Linked DNA regions of Mus musculus. The protein of the gene in region 2 interacts with the protein of the main gene of each other region in a pairwise test. Links are inferred from orthologs where the notes say so. Each region holds a gene or a part of one and is shown on either strand. Other genes may lie near its edges.

Region 1 (10,935 bases), on a different chromosome or scaffold from region 2:
TCCTTCCCACATAAACAGGTACACACACACACACACACACACACACACACACACACACACACACCAAGTAATGAGGCTGTGCACATTCCTGTATAAGTTCTTTTATGAACCTATGTTTCATTTTCTTAGAAATATACCTAAAAGCCAGGTATACCAGAACTTGGGAGGCAGAGGCAGGTGGATCTCTGAGTTTGAGGCCAGCCTGGTCTACAAAGTGAGTTCCAGGACAGTCAGGACTATACAGAGAAACCCTGTCTCAAAAAACCAAAAAAAGAAAAAGGAAAAAAAAACCCTAAAAACTAATACATATATACATATACACATACAAGCACATTATATATACACACATTATATATATACACACACACATATTTATATATATATAATTACACAAACACACACATACCTCTAAGAATGAATTGGCTGGATCTTATTGTAGCTGTTTCCCACCCCCCACCCCCCACCCCCTTTGGAGACAGAATCTCACTGTGTAGCCCTGGCTGGACTGAAACTATGTAGCCCAGGCTGGCCTTAAGCACAGCCAGCCTCCTGCCTCTGTCTCCCTACTGCTGACATAAAAGATGTGAGCCTGTCACACTCAGCTTGTTTAATCTTCTTGAGGAACTGCCAGGCAACTTTCCAAAACAATCAACCATTTAACATTGCCAGCAGGAAGGTTGGCGGGTCTGATCTCTCCGCAGCGGTTACCATCTTCCTCTGATCATAGCCATTCAAGAGGGCACAAAATGCTTGTTCTGAAGGTTATGAGAAAGGGAACGCCAACTGTCTTGTTCACTGTATGCTAGAATTTAGGAGAGTCTGGAACTTCTCAGTTTTAAATATTTTATTAGGGAATGGGTTATAGCTCACTAGTAGTGTACTTGCCCAGCATATATGAAGCCCTAGCTTTAATCTCCAGCACCTGAGTTGGGGGATAACTATATATGCATACATACACACACATACACACATGTGTGTAGTGAATAAGATGAAAACAACTTTGTTAAGATGGTTATAACGTATTTTTCAAAAGTAGATGTGTCAAGAATCTAGGTTTTTTTTTTTCTGTTTTCTGATTACCATAGTCTTTCTTCTGAGAAAAAAAAAATAGATGTTTCCTTTTTACAGACTGATTTTTATTTGTATGTGTATATGTCTACATGAGTGAGTGCTACCTATGTGCGGGTGCCAATGGAAACCAAAAGAGGTCATCTGATTTCTTGGAAATGATGCTTCAAATCAGACTCAGGTCCTCTGCAAGAGCAACGTACTTTCTTCTGAGTCATCCCTCCAGCCTCTAGTAGTTTTTAAAATTTTCTTCAGATCACTCAGTTCAGTTTTAGAAGTGCACACATTCCTGATTTAGACACAGATAATATTCTGGATATTATCTCAGTGTGTTTGTTTTATTTTTTTTAAAGATTTATTTATTACATGTAAGTACACTGTAGCTGTCTTCAGACACACCAGAAGAGAGCGTCAGATCTCGTTACAGATGGTTGTGAGCCACCACGTGGTTGCTAGGATTTGAACTCTGGATCTTCGGAAGAGCAATCGGGTGCTCTTACCCACTGAGCCATCTCACCAACCCTTACGTTTATTTTTATAAAATTTTATTTACTAATTTTTTTTTCAAGACAGGGTTTCTTTGTATAGCCCTGGCTGTCCTGGAACTCACTTTGTAGACCAGGCTGGTCTGGAACTCAAAAATCCGCCTGCCTCTGGCTCCCAAGTGCTGGGATTAAAGGCATGTGCCACCATGCCCGGCTACTAATTTTTTTTTATATATGAATGACTGTATGTATGCATGTATCATGCCTCTGGGGTTATGGATGGCTGTGAATCACCACATAGGTGCTTGGGATGAACCTGGGGCCTCTCTAAGAACAAACGCTCTTAACCCCTGTGCCAACTCTCCAGCCCCTAGATACACACACGCAATTTGGTTTTTTGTAACAGAGTTTCTGTGTGGCCTTAGCTGTACTGGAACTTGGTTTGTAGACCAGGCTGGCATGGAATTCAGAGATTGTCCTGCCTCTACCTCTCGAGTGGTGGGATTAAGGTGAGCACCACAGCCATGAAAATTTTTGCATTGGCTTTTCTTTTTCTTTTCTTTTCTTTTCTTTTTTTTTTCGAGACAGGGTTTCTCTGTATAGCCTTGGCTGTCCTGGAACTCACTCTGTAGACCAGGCTGGCCTCGAACTCAGAAATCCTCCTGTCTCTGCCTCCCAAGTGCTGGGATTAAAGGCATAGGCCACCACTGCCCAGCTTGTTCGAAGCTTTTAGCTCACCCCCAGCACTCTGTGCTTGCAAACAACCATCTTTCTGTGGCCTTCCAGGCTAGTCACACTGGAAGAGACAAGTCTATTAGCCCCTTTAAATCTCCCTCCAATTCCATTTTCGGAAGCACGGAGCCCACTTGACAGAGTGACAAGAGAAGGTCAGGTTAGTGACTGGGTGATGCTTACGGTGCTCAGAGCTGAGCACTTGAAAAATTATTTGCTCAAAGAATAAGCAAAGTGAAAATATGAGAAAGACTGGGACTGACCTGGCAAGGTGAGTCTCTGTTGCAAAATGCAATTTGGTCAACAAATATTTATTGAGTACTGTGCCCTTGCCTTGTGGCTCTATGTCAAAATATGGCTCTATGTCAAAATACATGATAAACAAAACAGCAATCGGCCTTGGGCAAGGAGTTTCTAAAACAGCTTTCCCGCTGCATGGTTCTTACTTTTTTTTTTTTTTTAATCCACCTATTGATTTTGAGGATTATATTCTAGCCTAAGGAATCGATTCAGACCCAAATAGTTGGTTCTGATCTAACGACAGCAAAGTCTAGGCGCCACTGGGGCACTGTTGTATCTCCTAACAGCTAATCCCAAATGTGTTTGGGTCCAAGCTGATTCCCTCCTCCCCCCCCCCCCCCGCCCCCCATGCTAAACTTCCTAAGGTTGGCTGGGGTCCTTGGATGGAGAACCTCCAAACGAATGGACAGCATATCCACCAGAGGGTGCTGTGAGGGCAGGTCTGTGGCGGGAGGGGAGCTCCCCCAGTGACCCTTCAAACCCAGGTAGGCTTTATTAGTTGGTTTTTCTTTCTTCTCGGTGTTTCCTTCCTACCCGCTAAAACCGTCGTTACCCCTCCCCCCACTCAGGGTCTCGTTTTGAAGACATTGATTCGACTTTCGCCGCGACTCCAGCAGAGCTGTGATCCAGAGGAAGTCTGACCTCTGTCGCAGACGCCCGGCGGCTGGAGACGTCCTGTCCCTGGACCGCCCGGGGCGCAGGCGGTAGGTGGGTGGGGACCTCCAAGGCCGCAGCTCGCTGCTGCGCCGCAGGGGCCGCGAAGGGGTTAACCCGGCGGGGGGGGGGGTGCGGGAGGAGGGAGGGGGCGCGGGCCGCGCGTGCGCTCTGCCGCCCTCCATTGTCTCCACGGCGGCGAGGAGCGCCGGCGAGCGCAGCCCGGGACGGAGCGGGGCGGTGCGGCTGGCTGGCGGGGCCGGCGGCGGCTGGAGCCGGAGCGCGACGCCACGCGACCGCGGCTTCCAGAGCTCCGCCTGGCTGCCCCACCGCCGCGAGCCCTCCCGAAGCCTGGAGGAGTGAGGGCCGCCGGCGCGGGCTGAGGAGTCCTGAGACGGGGGACGCGAACGGCGCGGCGCCCGGAGCCTCCGCCGCTTCCTGCTGCGGGCGAGCGGCCTCCTCCGGCTCCTCCCTCCCTTCGCTGCGGCTCCTTAGGCTCCGGAGCCCGGGGGCGGCCTGTGGCGCGAGGCGCCGGCTCTGGACCGCGCTTCTTCGGACCTTAAGGGGAACATGCATTCGGCTTGGACAGTTTGAAATTCTTAGTTTGGGGTCCCCGCTCGCTTGCTTTTTCCACCCCGCGGATTTTTTTTGAGGATTCCCCCCCTCACCTTTTTTCATTTTTCTCCCCTCGGGGCTCTTTTGTGACTCTCCCCAACCCCAACCCTCCGCCTTTATGTTCGCCCAGACCTCCACCCGCTTCTGAGTAGTGGGGGAGGGTTTCAGCCTCCACGTTCCCGCCCCACCGGGGCCCCGGCGAACATGGGGGGCAAGCAGAGCACGGCGGCCCGCTCTCGGGGCCCCTTCCCGGGGGTCTCTACGGATGACAGCGCCGTGCCGCCGCCGGGAGGGGCGCCCCACTTTGGGCACTACCGGACGGGCGGCGGGGCGATGGGGCTGCGCAGCCGCTCGGTCAGCTCGGTGGCGGGCATGGGCATGGACCCCAGCACGGCCGGAGGGGTGCCCTTTAGTCTCTACACCCCCGCCTCCCGCGGGACCGGCGACTCCGAGAGGGCGCCGGGCGGCGGAGGGTCCACGTCGGACTCCACCTATGCCCACGGCAATGGTTACCAAGAGACCGGCGGCGGTCACCATAGAGACGGGATGCTGTACCTGGGCTCCCGAGCCTCGCTGGCGGATGCTCTACCTCTGCACATCGCACCCAGGTGGTTCAGCTCGCACAGTGGTGAGTCCGCGGGTGACGGAGGCCTTGAAGGGTGGAGTGCAAGGGAGGGCGCGCCGGGGCGCCCGAAACCTCTTAATGTGCTAAGGTATGGGTATGAAGCTAACTCCTGCCCTTCCCCTGGTTCCTTCCATGTCAGAGGATGAATAGGATCAAATAAGATAACTACTGCCTAGGGGGAAAGCTGCCTACTAGGCGTGTGGAGCCGGGTACCTTAGGACTGCAGGCATGTGTTCACTTGTGGATGGCTGAGTGAAACCTGCCTATTGAGGTCGCATTTATTAGCGTCATGATCCTCAAAGGTCTTCTTGTCTGAGACTCTTCATTTCTGCCGCTGCAGCATGGTACCTACCTTTCTGGTTAAGGAGGTAGTGTCTCCTAAACAAAGAGTGAGAAAAGAAATAAAACTAGGGGCGAGTGATTCTTGGATTAGGGTTCTTATTCTCGCTAGGAAAGGGAGGTGGTTTGTTTTTCCACCCGACTGGTTTGCTGTATCAATTGTTTAAAATGGAACAGGAGGCTGGCTTAGACAGGTGTGGTCTGCTATGTGGAAAGCCTCCGTCTTTGGGTTTGCAGGACCAGGATTCTGGTCTGCATGCAGTAGATTTGGCTCAGGGATTCTCACATCCCTCCATCTTTTTTCCCCTGCTCCACGATAAGTGCTTGTTCTTCCCGTGATTGTGCATCTTTTTTTTTTTTTTTCTTTTCATAGAGCCCAGGAGAGGTGGGGTGGTATTGCCCCACAGCTGGCACATGACTAGGGAAGAGGAAGATGGAAAGGATGGAGATGAACTCATTCTGTGCACTTCTGGTGACAGGCCAGGAAAAGGCTGGAGGGGGATTTCCCAGGCCCTGGCTGGTGGTAGGGCAGCAAAGGCCTGGCAGAGACTTCTACAGGAAAACAGGTCTGTCTGCTTGGCTGTCCTGAGAAGCCAGGGCAGGCCTCTAGAAAACTGGTCAAAAGGGGTGTGGGGTTGCTGCTTGTTAACTACCAGTCTGAGTGAAGCAGTTAAGTATTCAGACTCTTGTGCCTGAACTGGGCAATTTTTGTTGCTGTGTAGGAGAAATCATTCTCCTGTCCTCAGGGTCCATTATGGAGGGCTTACCTGTGAGGTCACTGTTGTAGCTCATTGCAAAACAAGGTAGGGTTTGTTTTGTCTTGTTTGGTTTTGTATCTTTCCTTCTTTTGATCAATTCCATAATTTTTGAAGTAACTTTGGTGGGTTATAGTGGCTGGCTTAGAGCTTCTTTGACTTTAACTAAAATGCTGGACATCAGACACAAGGCATGTCTGCTTTTGGTACCCTCTAGTCATTTGGTCTGTGTTGGGCATGTTGGAATTAATAATCTTCCCTAAATAGTTGAGTCCAGAAGTCTCAGCTTTATTTCGAGACGATTATGAGTACACTTGTAAGTGAACTGTTATTGGCATGCTTTTAAAACAATTTTGAGTGCAGCAAGCAAATACCTTTATAAAAGCTTATATGGGGAGGGAGAAAAGGAGTTATCGTTTTGGTAAGATTTCTTAAGTCTGTCTCTTAATAGAAACTTCATTATCCTTGTTCTATTGTCAGGTTCTCTGATAGAGTTATGAACTTACAACTGAGTTCCAATATCTCACACTCTCCAGATATGAAGGCTTAGTGTTCTCCCCACCATCTTACTCCCACCCAGTCACGGGAGTAGGGAGTCCCACTGAGTGATGGGAATACAAGAAAAGTTAGAGTCATCCTTTGGGTGTCTTTAAAGTGTACGTGGCAGGCTCTTGTTAACATTATAGGTAATATTTGTATATATTTACTTATTTTTAGTATATAGAACCACCTGTGCTTTTTGCAAGACTCTGGGCCTATTGAATGCTCCTGGCATCCTGCAGTTCACCTCATACTGCCTCTGAATTCCCAAATGGCTTTTATTGGGGTGGGTGTACCAGTCTGACTGTGAGCTGCCTGTGCTGTTCAGCAGAGGTGAGCATTCATTTGTGTCAGTGTTAGAACAGGCCGTGGAATTTTCTGGGGCATCCTTTTCTCTTGTTCTTGGCTGCAAGGAGAGACGCTGCTGTTTCGCTGCTGTCTCGGCTGTGGAGCCTTGGAGTTAGGTCTGAGCAGCTTTTGCTCTTGTGTAAGATTCCAAAGGTGGGGCTTTCAGTGTTTGACTGACTGCGGGCCTGGAAACTGGTACAGTGTTAGTACTTGGGTTTTCAAGGTGCTTTGGTGACTCCTCACAAGCAGAGAGCTGTCATTAAAGAAATAAGTCAAAGCTGTGGGCTTGTGCTGTGTTCCAAAGTAGAATACTGAGGGCTTCCAGTTTTAGGTCCTCTGCTGAGTAACTTTGACCTTGGACAAGACACAGCACTTTTCTCTAGGCTCATCTTTGTTATTTTAAAAATAGATGTGGTAATCCTCCGCGGTGGCAGCTTGTAACGGTTGTTCTCTAAACCCCAGGAGAGGATATTCTGCAATTGCGCTTGGCTTCCGTGCTTCTGTGTCCCTGTGCCTTCCTCATGGCTGTGACCCTCGAATACTGAGCTCCTTAGGACAGAAATGCTAGCTCTTACTTTCTTCACATAGATAGCTCCTTTGAACCCTTTAGGACTCAACAGAGATTTTTTTCCTCAGTGGGCACTCTTAACATCTGACTTTCTTTTTTTTTTTTTTTTTTTTTTTTGCATGTTTTATAAGCATTTATCTGCTGACTTATTTTTCTTCTTGTAGTGTGACTAAGTTTTCATTTCTGGAAGGCCAGGACCAGCTCTTGAGTGCTGCTGTAACGCTTACACTGCTCAAGTATTTGCTGGATGAAAGAACTTGAATGGCTTATGTGCATCGTCTTATTCATTACTGTAACTCTACTCCTAGTTTACAGGGGAGGTGAGGAGCCCAGGCAGCTGGCTGTAGTTAGCAGAGGTGAGACTGGAGTGCAGGCCCAACAGTGCCAGAACACTGGCTCTTTTTATCGATTACTTTGTTTTGTTTATGTGATTATTTATTGTTTGTTTTGAGACAGTGTCTTAGTATGTAATCTCAGTTGGCCTCAAACTTATTTAATACAGGTTGGCTTTGAACTTTTAATCCTTAGTTTTCATCTTCTGCAATGTTTCAGTTATAGGTATATGTTGCTTATGTTCAACTGTGCTCTAAGACACCACTCTGGCTCCCTTTTTTTTTGTCTGTTTCCAGGAAATAGTACCCTGGAAACGTAACTAGCCACTAAGTGGGAAGAAGGGTAGGCTCATGATAAAGGGCCTGACTCTTAACCTTGAGCAGATAGATGTGTAGTTCCAGGCTTTAGTACATCTTCATCTGTAGATGTCTGTCCTCGGAGTCCTGCGGTCATTGGTGAGGGTCTTTTGTGACAGTATACACCAAAGCAAAAGGCAAAGGGAATCCAAGTGGAACACTGATGGCCTTGTGGGGACAAGGCTATTGTTCCTGCCTTCTCTGTCTCCTTAGAACTCATAGACAGAGCTCCACACGAGAATAAGAACATAGGCCCCAGCTGGAGGCCCTGCTGTCTGGAGTCTCTGCCTTGTATCCTGTTCTCCTATCATTGCCAGGGGAGAAATCCTTTGAGAAGCATGTGCAGCCCTTTCCTTCCACCGGACAGGTGCTGGGCTTGTCCTGAGGTGATTCTGTCTGTGGCTTTTGGTTTTCTGATGCTAAAGGCCTGGCTGGCCATTCTTTTTTGTAGTAGTCCTGTTAACCTTGGAGACGGGGTTTCCAAATGTGGAGAGGAAACATGAAGTATCCAATCCACCTGTGAGGTGAGCTTGCTGTGTTCTACTGTAAAATGGGGTGTGGCTGGCTACTGGGGTGCGGCTGGCTACAGGGGTGGTGTTTGTTTGGTCTGGCTTCTTAGTCATGTTTGTGTATACATATGTATATTCAAAAAAATCCAAATTTGTTTTGTATTTTAACCAACTCACCGACTAGGGCTAAGATGGAGTGACTTAAAAAAGGGTCTGAATATGCTAGCAGCATGTCTCCTGGGTTCTAGTTTGCTGTCACACTAGGATTTCCAAACTTTTTTCTAGTCTTAAATAGTGAGGAACAGTTGTCAAATCTATTTGAGTGGCTCAGGAAGTCTTTGTGTCTCACTGTAGGTATGCTAGAGGTAATGGGCCTTTTTGAGTCTTCTGAAAAAGGAAAAGCATTCTGTGGTCTCTAAAAAGCGAGATCCATTCCCTGCCCAGCTCTGCAAAAAAGTTCCAGCCTTAATGAAGACTTGATTTTTAATGTAGAATTTTTAGTTTTCTATTACCACAAGGGGCTTATTTTCCATGCCTCCTTCAGGCAAAGATAATTTCCTAAGGGTCGTAGTTAACTATTCCCCATGAGATCTGAAAGGCATTGCAAGCAACAGTGGTTAAATTGTTAACATGGTTGTTTTATGGATGTGTATATTTTAATATTAAACAAAGACTCCTCTCCAACTATGTCACAAGGAATGCTGTAAGCCAGGCCACCCTTAACCAAAGAAAGAGCACTCCTCCATTCTTGAAGGACCATGCCACATATTTTACAACTGTGATGATATTCCACCCAGGCTCAATGGGCACTGAACTCAGAATACCCAGTTATAGCCAGCAGCGTGGCTCAGCAGAGAAGGGCACTGGCCCCCTAGCTTGATGAGTTGAGTTCAGTCCCCAGGACCCACTTGGTGGGAGGAGAGAACCAACTCCCCCAATTCTCCTCTGGCCTCCACACGCCCATAGACAGGGCGCACACACACACACAATAAAAATAAAAACTTGTCATAGTTTCAAATTTGGCAGAAAAAAACATCATAGGGAACCAGTGTTGCCCTAAGAGGGATGTTGGTCCCACTCTTATTGAACCTTAAGCTAGGTTAATGATAGCAGGCCTGAGGTTGAGGTACTGGACACTTTTTTTTTTTTTTTTTTTTTTTGGTTTTTCGAGACAGGGTTTCTCTGTGTTGCCCTGGCTGTCCTGGAACTCACTCTTTACACCAGGCTGGCCTAGAACTCAGAAATCCACCTGCCTCTGCATCCCCAGTGCTGGGATTAAAGGCGTGTGCCACCACGCCCGGCTGGTACTGGATTCTTGAAGCAAGCTCCAAACCTGACTCCTAAACTTAGTCTTTAGAATAATAGATGAGTTTAGATTTTTAGTCATTTTTCCCCCTAAGCTTTGCTGTGCCTCAGTCTAAATCAAATGGTTGGTTCTTAGCATCTGAACATTATAATAGGCTTAGGTACTGAAAGGGGCTTCTCAGACGTAGCTTCTGTCCTTCTCAATCTTCTGTTCATAAGCACCGGGCTTATCACTGGGTGGGTGCGATGGCACTCGGGAAGCAGAGGCAGGCAGATCTCAGAATTAATGGGCCAGCCTGGTTCACAAAGTGAGTTCCAGGACAGCCAGGGCTACACAGAGAAACCCTGTCTTGAAAAACCAAAGTGGCGGGAGTGGGGGTGGGGGTGGGGGGGAGGGAGGAAAAACCAGGTTTATCTTTGTATCCTGTCTCGGAAGTGCTGATTGGATAGCAGTGAAGACCAGTGGGCAGGTGGAGGTTTATAAGGACCCAAGTTTCATCCTGAATCAGCTGCTCGGATGGCTTCTAAACGGATGCGGCAGTTCACCTTGCTGTCTCCCTGTCTTCGTTAGCCTTGGGAGGCAAGCTAAAGGGTGAAGTCACAGTATCTCGCTATTTCTATAACTCAAAGTTAGGGGGGACATGATAAGGATTTACAGTGCACTTTTTGGACAACAGAAATGAAACAGACACAATCAGGAGCCTCTGATGAGTGAGGGCTCCCGAGTAGCCTTGCTGACTGCCTGGTGGTTTTTAGGGAGCCTCATAGCAATGCTGATGACAGGACCCTACTCCCAGAATTCAGTGGTGCTGAGGAGACTAAACAGATCCCGAGAGTACAGTTAGAACATCTACATTTGGAATTCAGCTTGTCATGAATTCCCTTTCTTCCTTCTGAAACAGAAAGAACTTGGTGGGTAGTTTGTTTGTTTGTTTGTTTTGGTGCATCCATTGTTTTTGATACTGTTAAGCTAGTTGGGTATTTTCTAGAGGATCCATACAAGTGTCTTTCATCAGCAAGAGCATTCTTCACTGGTGTTTTTGTTTTTGTTTTGTTTTGTTTTGTTTTTCCACATGGAATTAAGCATTTGTCTCCTACATAAAGGCCTAAGCCAGTGTGCCATGGTCTTGACAACTGAGTGGCTCAGAACAGCCTGACAGTAATTGAAGCAATGGCCCTTTCTGTGCTGTTCCCCCTGATTTTCATGAGGCCCCGCTGCCTCTGGCGGTCATTACCTCTGAAGGGCACTGATGTCACACAGGCCCGGCCCAGCAGCGAGGACATAGAGCTGGGGATCTGGGACAGCTCCTGACACTGAAGCGGGTGTATTATGAGTTTCCCTTTCCCTCTTTATCTCAGAGCAGAGTTTCCTGCCTGTGTAGACACTGACTGCACCAAGACAG
Region 2 (9,643 bases):
TGCTTTGCCGAGCTCAGGTGAAGAAGATGGCATTTCTGCTGTTAATGAGGTCATGGTTTTGGTAAAGAAGATAACCTGTGGGTTAAAATGAAATGAAGTTTATGCAAATACAGAGCTGAGCATTTCTCTCTGGCAGGTACACATTTTATCTTTTATTAACCATTTTGGTGACCCACCTTTCTGTAGGCCAGGCTGATTTGGAGCTCCGAGACCACCTGCCTCTGGCCTCTGAGTGCTGGAAAGGAAGGCGTGTGATATCTCCACCACTGACACCACCTGGCTAAGAAATCATTTTTTTAAGATTAAAGAAAATTATTGTATGTTTGGGTGAGGAGGGGGCATGCATAAAGATTAAAGGGTAGGGTCTGGAGAGATGGCTCCGTAGTTAAGAGCACTGACTATACTCTTCCAAAGGTCCTGAGTTCAATTCCCAGCAACCACTTGGTAGCTCACAACCATCTGTAATGGGATCTGATGACCTCTTCTGGTGTGTCTGAAGACAACGACAGTGAGTTCAGACTTGAAAAAAAAAATTAAAGGGTGACCATTTGGAGCTAGTTCTCACCGACCTTTCAGTGCGCCCCAGGAATTGAACTCAAAATACCACCAAGCTTGAGAGCCACCTTGATGGTCCAAAACATTTTTTTAGAAAAGCAAGACGCATTTGGATGAGTAAGTACCTTTCATTTTGAAGGAATTAGTAGACATGTGGTCATTCCATGTGGTGCAGGGAAAACCTACAAAACCAGCCTCAGAAGCATGGGAGCTGAGAATAACTGTCTCACTCTCTACCCTTAGCTGGCCTAGAGTTTATAGAACTCCGCTTGTCTCTGCCAGTGAGTGTTGCCCGACTGACCCTGGCTCCTTAATGCAGGGATGGAAGACTGTGAAACGCTGGAAGACGTGTACATGGCATCTGTAGAGACAGACCGTGGGGTGAAGGAGCAGCTGCACTTGTATGACACCCGAGGCCTGCAGAAAGGCGTGGAGCTGCCAAAGCATTACTTCTCATTTGCTGATGGCTTTGTTCTTGTGTATAGTGTGAATAACCTTGAGTCCTTCCAAAGAGTGGAGCTTCTGAAGAAAGAGATTGATAAGTTCAAAGACAAAAAGGAGGTAAGTGGCTGTTTAGTTACCAGGTGTGAAGTCTGATGCTGTTAGAGTGGTAATGTGAATTCAGTGTAGTTTATACATTTAAAGCTGTTCAGTTAAACTGACTGTCTTAGTCAGGGTTTTACTGCTGTGCACAGACACCATGACCGAGGCAAGTCTTATAAAAACAACATTTAATTGGGGCTGGCTTACAGACTCAGAGGTTAAGTCCATTATCACCAAGGTGAGCATGGCAGTATCCAGGCAGGCATGGTGCAGGCAGAGCTGAGAGTTCTATGTCTTCATCCAAAGGCTGCTAGTGGAAGACTAACTTCCAGGCAACTAGGGTGAGGGTCTTAAACCCACATCCACAGTGACACTTCTATTCCAACAAGGCCACAGCTCCAAATGGTGCCACTCCCTGGTCCAAGAATATACAAACCATTACACTGGCAGTATCTGCAAACACAGTGTGCATAACTGGCCAGGCCCATGAAGCACAGTGCTTGCCCTTCGTCTCTTGCTGTCCCTCTGTGTTACTCTGTTCAGGGTATGTTTCCTAGCTCCCTAGCTCAGGTACTGTATAACTCAGTCGTGTGGGGGTCATTTGTCTCATCTTCAACCTCGACACATACACACAAAAGCTTAGTGAGTCAGCACCAGCTCCTCCCTGTTTGCCACTTTCTTGCTGCTTGGAATTCACTAATCTCAGATCTTCTTTACATGTCACCTCAGCTCAGTCAGCAACCTCAGAGCCGTCCAGCACCCACGTTAATAGTCTGCTCGATGGCTTAGCCCAGATTCTTACATTTTATATATTTGTTTGCTTTGTTTTTGTTTTTGTTTTTGTTTTTGTTTTTTTTTTTTTGAGACAGGGTTTCTCTATATAGCCCTGGCTGTCCTGGAACTCTGTAGACCAGGCTGGCCTCAAACTCAGAGAGATCGTCCTGCCTCTGCCTCCCAAGTTCTAGGATTAAAGGTGTACACCACCATGCCTGCCTGGCTGATTGGCCATCTTTTAAAAAATATGTTAAAAACTTAATTTTAATTATGTCTGTGTGGGGAGGTGGGAGGAATTATATGCACGAGTGCAGGTGCCTGTGGAGGCCAGAAGAGAGCCATGTTGTCATATTTGTCACATCTGAGGGTTCCCCTGACAGCCGAGTATTAAGGCTTCATACTTGGTAGGTAAGTTCTGTACTTGCCCAACTTTTTAGACAAGGTTTAACTAGATTGCCCAGACTGGTCTTGAACTTGCAATCTTCCTAGTTCAACTCCAGAGCAGCTGAGTTTACTGCTTTCGTTTCCTCAACATCATCTAAACAAAGCAGTTTGCTAAATGGAAGAGCAGTAATTACTTATACAGTTTTCCTGTAAGCTGCTATGGATGGTTACTATTGTGGTCTTTGGTCATTTTTTGTCCAGGTGGCAATCGTTGTGTTAGGAAACAAACTGGACCTTTCTGAGCAGAGACAGGTGGATGCTGACGTGGCACAACAGTGGGCAAGAAGTGAGAAAGTCAAGCTGTGGGAGGTGACAGTGACAGACCGGAGGACACTGATTGAACCCTTCACTTTACTGGCCAGCAAGCTTTCTCAGCCCCAGAGCAAATCCAGCTTCCCTTTGCCTGGGAGGAAAAACAAAGGGAACTCCAATCCCGAAAACTGAGTCAAGCCTTGAAATGTCTGTAGCCTGGCATGAGGTTACGATTTAACGTGGCCCTTCTCAGATCACCTCTGGGCCTAATGGAACCCCTAAGTGGTAATTTAATGCACTTTCTAATTAAGTTAATTACTTTATAATTAACCTAGTTTATTGCTGTTGGACATTATTTTTTGCCTTTATTTGAAACCTGTTCTTATTTTGTTATTTATTCTGCACTTGTCAATAATAGCAAAATAAAATTTAGAGTATGCAATATACCATGGGAACTCTTCCAGCTTGTCAGGACTCTCATACTCATTGTAATTTTATGCAAATGCCTTATCCTTCCATAAACGCATGAATAACAGGGGTGGCTGGGCTCGCTTGGCAAAGCGCCTTCCCCACTGAGTCACAGGCCCAGAACTCTTGTCTTACACAGAGCTAGAGAGATTGCTCAGCAGGTAAGGCCGACGCCTTGCAGAACTTGTAGCACCTTTAACAGATTCCAAGGGATCCAGTGTCTTCTCTTGGTTTCTTCAGGCATTTCATACACTTAGTGCTCATATATACAAGCAGAGAAAATCACTCATACACATAGAATAATATCTAAGGTTAATCATCTAAGATTATAGAGCTTGGCAATTGCTTTGTGTACTTAAATTGTCCCAATAACAATCTGGATCTCTAAATTCTCATTTTACAGAGGCTTTGCTGAACAGAACAAGAGTGGTGGTTTTGTTTTGCTCTATTAAGTATTAAGATCTTAGGGTTAGGACGAGGTGCTTTTGTATTCAGCGCCCTGATTTTATTCTATAAGCTAGGCCTGTGCTGGTGATAAAATTAAATACTAGAGGGTCTTTTGAAAATGGCTAGGCTGGAGAACAGGGAAACATCCCTTTTCTTCTAATAACCTTGCCATATACAATAAAATGCCAGAAATAGAGTTACCATTAGTTTTCCATATTAATCTGAGTTTACAATTTAATTTATGGAAAATCTTTTAAAAAAGATTGCCAACCCTATACAAAGAACTAGGAAATAAGTTGTTTAGTGTTTTCAACTGTAAATAATCTTTAACCATTTAACTGAAAAGCAAAATATGAAACAAGGTAAAGAATGCATTAAGTACGGAACCTTCCTTCAACCATGAGCATTGCTGCTGCTTGCTTTTCTGTTGGTACTGTAGACTGAACTCAAGCTGTATCATTAGCCTTTTTAAGGAAGGGTTTGTTTGTTTATTGGCTTTTCGAGACAGGGTTTTTCCCTGTAGCTCTGGCTGTCCTGGAACTCATTCTGGCCTTGAACTCAGGAATCAGCCTGCCTCTGCCTCCCAAGTGCTGGGATTAAAGGTGTGTGCCACCACTGCCGGGCGAGAAAGGGTCTTAATAAATTACCCAGGCTTTGAACTTGGAATCTTTGTGCCCAGACACCCTGAATACTGGGACTACAGCCACCCGGTTTGCCCTTCATCCCACTAAACACTGGCTGGTTGGAACTATGTAGACCAGGCTAGCCTTGATCTCAAGTCCTCCTCAGCTGGGATTAAAGTTCTGTACCATTATACACAGTCTTGGCCAATTCTTTTTTTAAAAAAACATACTTTTTTGGTTATCTCTCAGGTTAAGTCAGCCCGCCCTTCCAGGTACTTTTCTCTCAGCTTTGTCTTCTGATATATTTTATATAGATCCTGCCTGGTGTTTCTGTTTTTTCTTTTGGCTGCATTTAGATCTTGTGCTTTAATATACGTGGAATTGTTTATGTAATTAAAATGCTTTTTGAGACTGGGTGTCATGTAGCCTAGGCTAGTCTCAAACCCAGTGTGTAGCTGAGGATGACTCTGAACTTTAATCCTCTGGCATCCAATCACCCTGGGATGAAGGTGTGTGAATGCTACTATGCTCAGCGTTCACTTGACTGAGGCTGGAGCCATAGCCAGCAGCAGTGCTACTGAGTCACTGAGCCTGCTCTGCAAGATGAGCACCAGCTCACCAGAGTGGCTCATTTCTCCTGTGTCTGCTGCCACTTCATCTGCAGATCAGAAAATGCTTTGAGCAACAGGCATTGAGTATATCTTTGACGCTTTAGCTGGCTTACACTGTTTTGTTTTTTGAGACAGGGTTTCTTTGTGTAGCCCTGGCTGTCCTGGAACTCACTTTGTAGACCAGGCTGGCCTTGAACTCAGAAATCCACTTGCCTCTGCCTCCCAAGCCTGGGATTAAAGGCGTGCACCACCACTGCCTGGCTGTTTATTGTTTTTAAGATATCTCCAGGGGGCTAAAGAGATGGCTCAGGGGTTAAGAGCACTGACTACTTCTTCCAGAGGTCCTGAGTTCAATGGCCAGCAACCACAACCATCTTTAAAGGATCTGATGCCCTCTTCTGGTGTGTCTGAAGACAGCTACAGTATCTTTATTTATACACATAAATAAAGTCATAAAAAGACATCTCCAAAATGTGCTGTGTAAGTATCAGCTCTGGCATATATTAAGTGATAAGTATTCCTTAACCTGCTTTCAGAAGCAAAGACTGCAGAGAGGAAATGAACACAGCAGGGTCAGTAGTTGTTCTTAATATTGTTTATTAGCACAAATGCAGACGTAAGAAGTCTAAACCAATTGACTGAACAATTCCTATTCCACACTTACAGTTAACAGCTTAAGGTATTTCACTACAGGTTTCCACAAATTGTGATTCAACCCTTGAAGTAATTTGCATATAAGATAAAATACATTAACTACATGGTGTCTTGTAGCCAGGTGTCCATTTTACATATACGAGGTAACAAACTCATCTTTGCAAACTTGTTAAATACCATTGTTTCCTTTTAAGAAGGAAAAACAAATTCCATTTTTTTTGAACAAGAAAATAGGACTTTACATAAATGACATGTACCTATACAAATTTAAGCTGATCAATGGAACACAAGTATCTACACATGCTTTCTTTTGTACTAAAAGTCAGCTAATCTTGCAAAGTTTCAGCTCTAAAAGTCGCTATTACCAGTTTGTCTACTGTAGCAAGATACCTTAAGTTACAACAAAATCCTGGGAAGTAAGACTGAATAATATCTGATATAGAAATAGCCTACTCTTTACCAACTCCCACCCCCACCCTTTCAAAATCATAAGCAGCTCTCTTCTGTGACAGACAAGTCATGTAAGAACTGAAAACCCAGTTTATGTAGCGTATCTCTTGGTCCACTGTCTGGCCATTCTGTCGTGTTCTGCTCTGTTGGTCATGTACTGAGTGGCAATACTTCCCACCAAAGGGTCAGCTGGAAGAAAAACATGTATGTTACTTTGGAGAAAGAAAATCAGATACTTTGCCCATGTCTGAAACACTCACTGTCAGAAGGTGTTTTCTTCTAATCTTTAAAAACAGTTTTTAAAAAGGTTTATTTTATGTTTTTGGGTACTCTGTTTGCAGGTTATGGATGTGGGCCCCTAGTGGGTGCTGGAAGCTGAACCCCTCTGCAAGAACACTTGCTCTTCAGCTGGGCCACTGTTTTAGCCCTTCATCTAATCTTATCTAGAAGGGTGGGAGGAGTGGCCTTGGCTTCATTTTCTTATTCTACTTTAGTTCTCTCTCAACAAGTGACACTCTTTGTTCTCCATGTGTATGACCAAGGCTCCAAGACCAACTTTGTTCAACCAATTAGAGCTGTAGATATTGGGAAGTCTCTCTGGCTGGTGCAATTGGCAGTATCTATTGTATAATGTATACCTAGAAAAGGCCAAAAACCCAGACTTCCAAATAAATGTGTTTCTCTGAAAATGGAATGCCTAGTTAAATTTGTATATTTAAGCAGAAAAATAAATAATTTCTTTCTTTTTAAAAACAATTAGTCCCAATAAGATTACAATTCTGAAATTACCAAGTGCAGAAAAATACCTCTTTCTAAAGTGAGCACTGGCTGTGGTCAAGTGCTCAGTGAATCCTCATCAAAACTGGCAGCAGAGCTGCACCCAGCCTTAGTGAGCTCAGAGTAGCTGCCTTTTCCAACTAGTGCACTAAACAATTGATTAAAATGTCCTTTAATGGTCTTAGCTTATGTGGAAAACAAGAAACATTTAGTAAGAAATACAGTGCAGATGACTATTCGTCTTACCAGGATTGCAGTCTGTAAGGAGTGAGCAGATAGAAAGGAGGACTTTCGAGATGGTTAGGGCTGGGCTCCAGTTGTCTTTCAATATGTCCAAGCAAATAACTCCTTGGCTATTAATATTACAGTGATAAATTCTTGTACGAAATGTAACCTAAAAATAAGGCAGTTGTCAAGCAGCATTCATGTAGGAGGCATTATGACATTTCAGGTAGACGCTGTTGAAGTGAGGCCACACTCAATTCTCCATCTCATTTTACAGCAGTACCCACTGCCAGATACTTCTTTACATTTTTTCTTTTCTTTTTTTTTTTTTTGTTGGTTTTTTTTTTTTTTCATTTTTTCTTTTCTTGATCAGGCTAGTCTGGTACCATATATCCCAAAGTAGCTGCAAATTTTTGATCCCTCTGCCTGCTTCTGTTTCCAGATATGTGCTACTAGTAACATCTGGCTTAATTTTAATGTTCTAAATATGACTATGTCTTAAGTTTGGATTGTTAGTTGTTTGCTGACCTCTTGTGTTAGCTGGAAGTAATACACTGCTTCGGAGTGTGCGTAAAATCTAACAAGCTAGACAATAACTAGCACAGTTTTAAGCATTTACATCTAGAAATGCCTATTGCCTACTGAGGAGCCAACCCAACCAACAGTCATCACATTCACTTAAAACTGGCAAACAATACACAGAAGGAAGCTGAGCTCTTCTGCCACACAGATCTAGACTGTACCGCAGTACACACAGCTGTTACTAACATGCTTTAACAGGACAGCAGCACACAAATGGAAGACTCTAGCTTTTGTGATTACAATGAAAACTTGATCTCTCTCAAGGAACAGTTAATGTCAGGAGACACTGGAGACTCCTTACCTTTGGAGGCTTGAAAGGATACTCTGGTGTAAAAGTAATGTCAAGGAAGAATACTCCACCTTCATACACAGACCCTGGAGGACCCAGAATGGTTGATCTCCACTCATAGATGTTGTCACCCTTGGGACCAGCACTGTGAAATAATACAGGAGCAGATAAAGACATGGTGACATTGCATCAGAAAAGGGAAAAAAACCCTCCCCTTATCCTTTTGGTTTAATGTCTGGGTTCTCTTCATAAAGAATATGGTAGTGAGCCAGGACAGAAGAACACCAGACCCATTCTAAACACTCTAGCTGCAGCTAGACATGAACTTTCTTCAACTCTCAAGCGTAAGGTAAACATCAATTAAAGATTCGTTTCTTAGAATATAAGCCGCTGACTATTATGATTCAAAGAAACTCAGGGCAAATCTCAGTACCTGTGGCTTCTCCAAACACTTCTCACCCAGGCCAGGGTGAGACCTGGGGACAGGGCTTCTGCTTCCCTTCCCCCACCTTCTCTTCATTGTACTGCTCAGCTATTTTGACTATGGCTCTCTTGGTCCACACCGCAATCTTGAGCTCTTGTTTCACTCTTGGTCAGCTTGCCCCACCCCCCTTTTCTTGTCCTCCCCATCCCCATGCCCAATAACTCCATTCAGTCTGTTAGCTTGGCTCAGTCTGGACTCTCCCAATGTCTCTGCCTGTTCTCCCCTTTATCTACAATAAAATCTAACCATACCTAGGAGTGATCATGTCCTCATTTTTCATTCAGTGACAAGTTTTCTCATTGCTGCATCATTTCTGGTAAATAACAAGAATTTTTGCCCTAACTAAAGTACTTGGCAGAGTTTTAAACTCCACACTGACATAAAGACATACAACATTTGACTTCCAGCCAGCCTACACACACACACACACACACACACACACACACACACACACACACACTTGCTTTAGCTAGAAGATCTTCTGGCCCTCTGAGACAGAGTAGCTCAAACTGTCTTCAAAGTCACTCAGCCCTCACAAATGCTGGGTCATGGGTAATTCCAAGTTGGTGCCTATACTTCCTACCTTATAAAAATTAGTGAGTGAGAGAGGCGAATGTCAATGATGTAATCAGTTTTCACTTCAGTGTTAAACTAAACACGAACTTTCATTAGCCATTAACCAAACCCCATTCTTGTTAAATACAATATACTTGGTTGTACCCTTACTCGGCTATACCATCCTTCTAAAATATTGCATTGGCTTCCAGAGTGCTCTGTATTCAAGTACCTTAGCAACAGCAGTAAAACTTGCACTCCGATTCTAAGACCTATAGAGTAGTAATACTCTTTGTAGTAGTAATTTCTTACTACTAAGGTAGGGTACAGGGAAAGACTAAAAAATGATTTATTTCTATTTGTGTATCCCCCCCGCCCCCACACTGCCTGCTCTTACAAGTCAGAGGGCATGAGATCCCTGGAGCTGGAGTGACATGTGGTTGTGTGCTGCTTGACACAGATACTGGAAACTGACTGGATCCTCTGGAAGAGAATCAGGTGCTCTTAACTGCTGAGTGATCTCTCCAGCCTCCAACAAGATCTTAACCAGCTCTCTCCTAGGAATATACTATGATCCCCCTAGTAAAAAGTTACCTTTGCTTCTTCGTTTACTGAGAACAGAATGGGTTCTCAATTATCAAAAGTTAGCCTGTTTGTGTCCCTTGCTTCCAGTGGGATGGTCACTAGGAGGTTGGGCCTTTGGGGACAGTCAGGTCAAGAAAGTAGAAGTCATTATGTATAAGCTTAGTGTCCTAAATAAGACCTCACCACCAGAACATTTGCTTCTTACCTGCCGAGGATTAGTGCAACAAGACAGCTGTCTGGAAACTAAGAAATGGTTCCTCACTGCACTAAAACTGCTAGCACTTAAGTCTTGGATATCTTGTCCCGAAGTGACAGAGGAGAGCTA

What was found. The genes of interacting proteins can lie anywhere in the genome.
Region 1: the proteins of Ube2e1 (region 2) and Znrf1 interact in binary tests that used the Homo sapiens proteins (3 or more experiments, as listed by UniProt). The link is inferred for Mus musculus from reciprocal best matches to the Homo sapiens genes UBE2E1 and ZNRF1.

What each region holds. Positions count from the first base shown.
Region 1 is NC_000074.6:111,533,083-111,544,017, forward strand, and holds the start of Znrf1 (E3 ubiquitin-protein ligase ZNRF1), read left to right. Parts: upstream 1-3,557; 5' UTR 3,558-4,058; coding exon 4,059-4,482; exon of another isoform or gene 4,483-4,567; intron 4,568-5,219; exon of another isoform or gene 5,220-5,251; coding exon of another isoform or gene 5,252-5,384; intron 5,385-10,935. UniProt on the Homo sapiens protein: E3 ubiquitin-protein ligase that plays a role in different processes including cell differentiation, receptor recycling or regulation of inflammation. Mediates the ubiquitination of AKT1 and GLUL, thereby playing a role in neuron cells differentiation.
Region 2 is NC_000080.6:18,277,430-18,287,072, forward strand, and holds the end of Ube2e1 (ubiquitin-conjugating enzyme E2 E1), read right to left. Parts: intron 7,840-9,643; coding exon 7,707-7,839; intron 6,993-7,706; coding exon 6,845-6,992; intron 6,575-6,844; exon of another isoform or gene 6,011-6,574; coding exon 5,913-6,010; 3' UTR 5,300-5,912; downstream 1-5,299. Other genes in the region: Nkiras1 (NF-kappa-B inhibitor-interacting Ras-like protein 1), read left to right, coding at 875-1,116, 2,518-2,760. UniProt on the Homo sapiens protein: Accepts ubiquitin from the E1 complex and catalyzes its covalent attachment to other proteins. Catalyzes the covalent attachment of ISG15 to other proteins. Mediates the selective degradation of short-lived and abnormal proteins.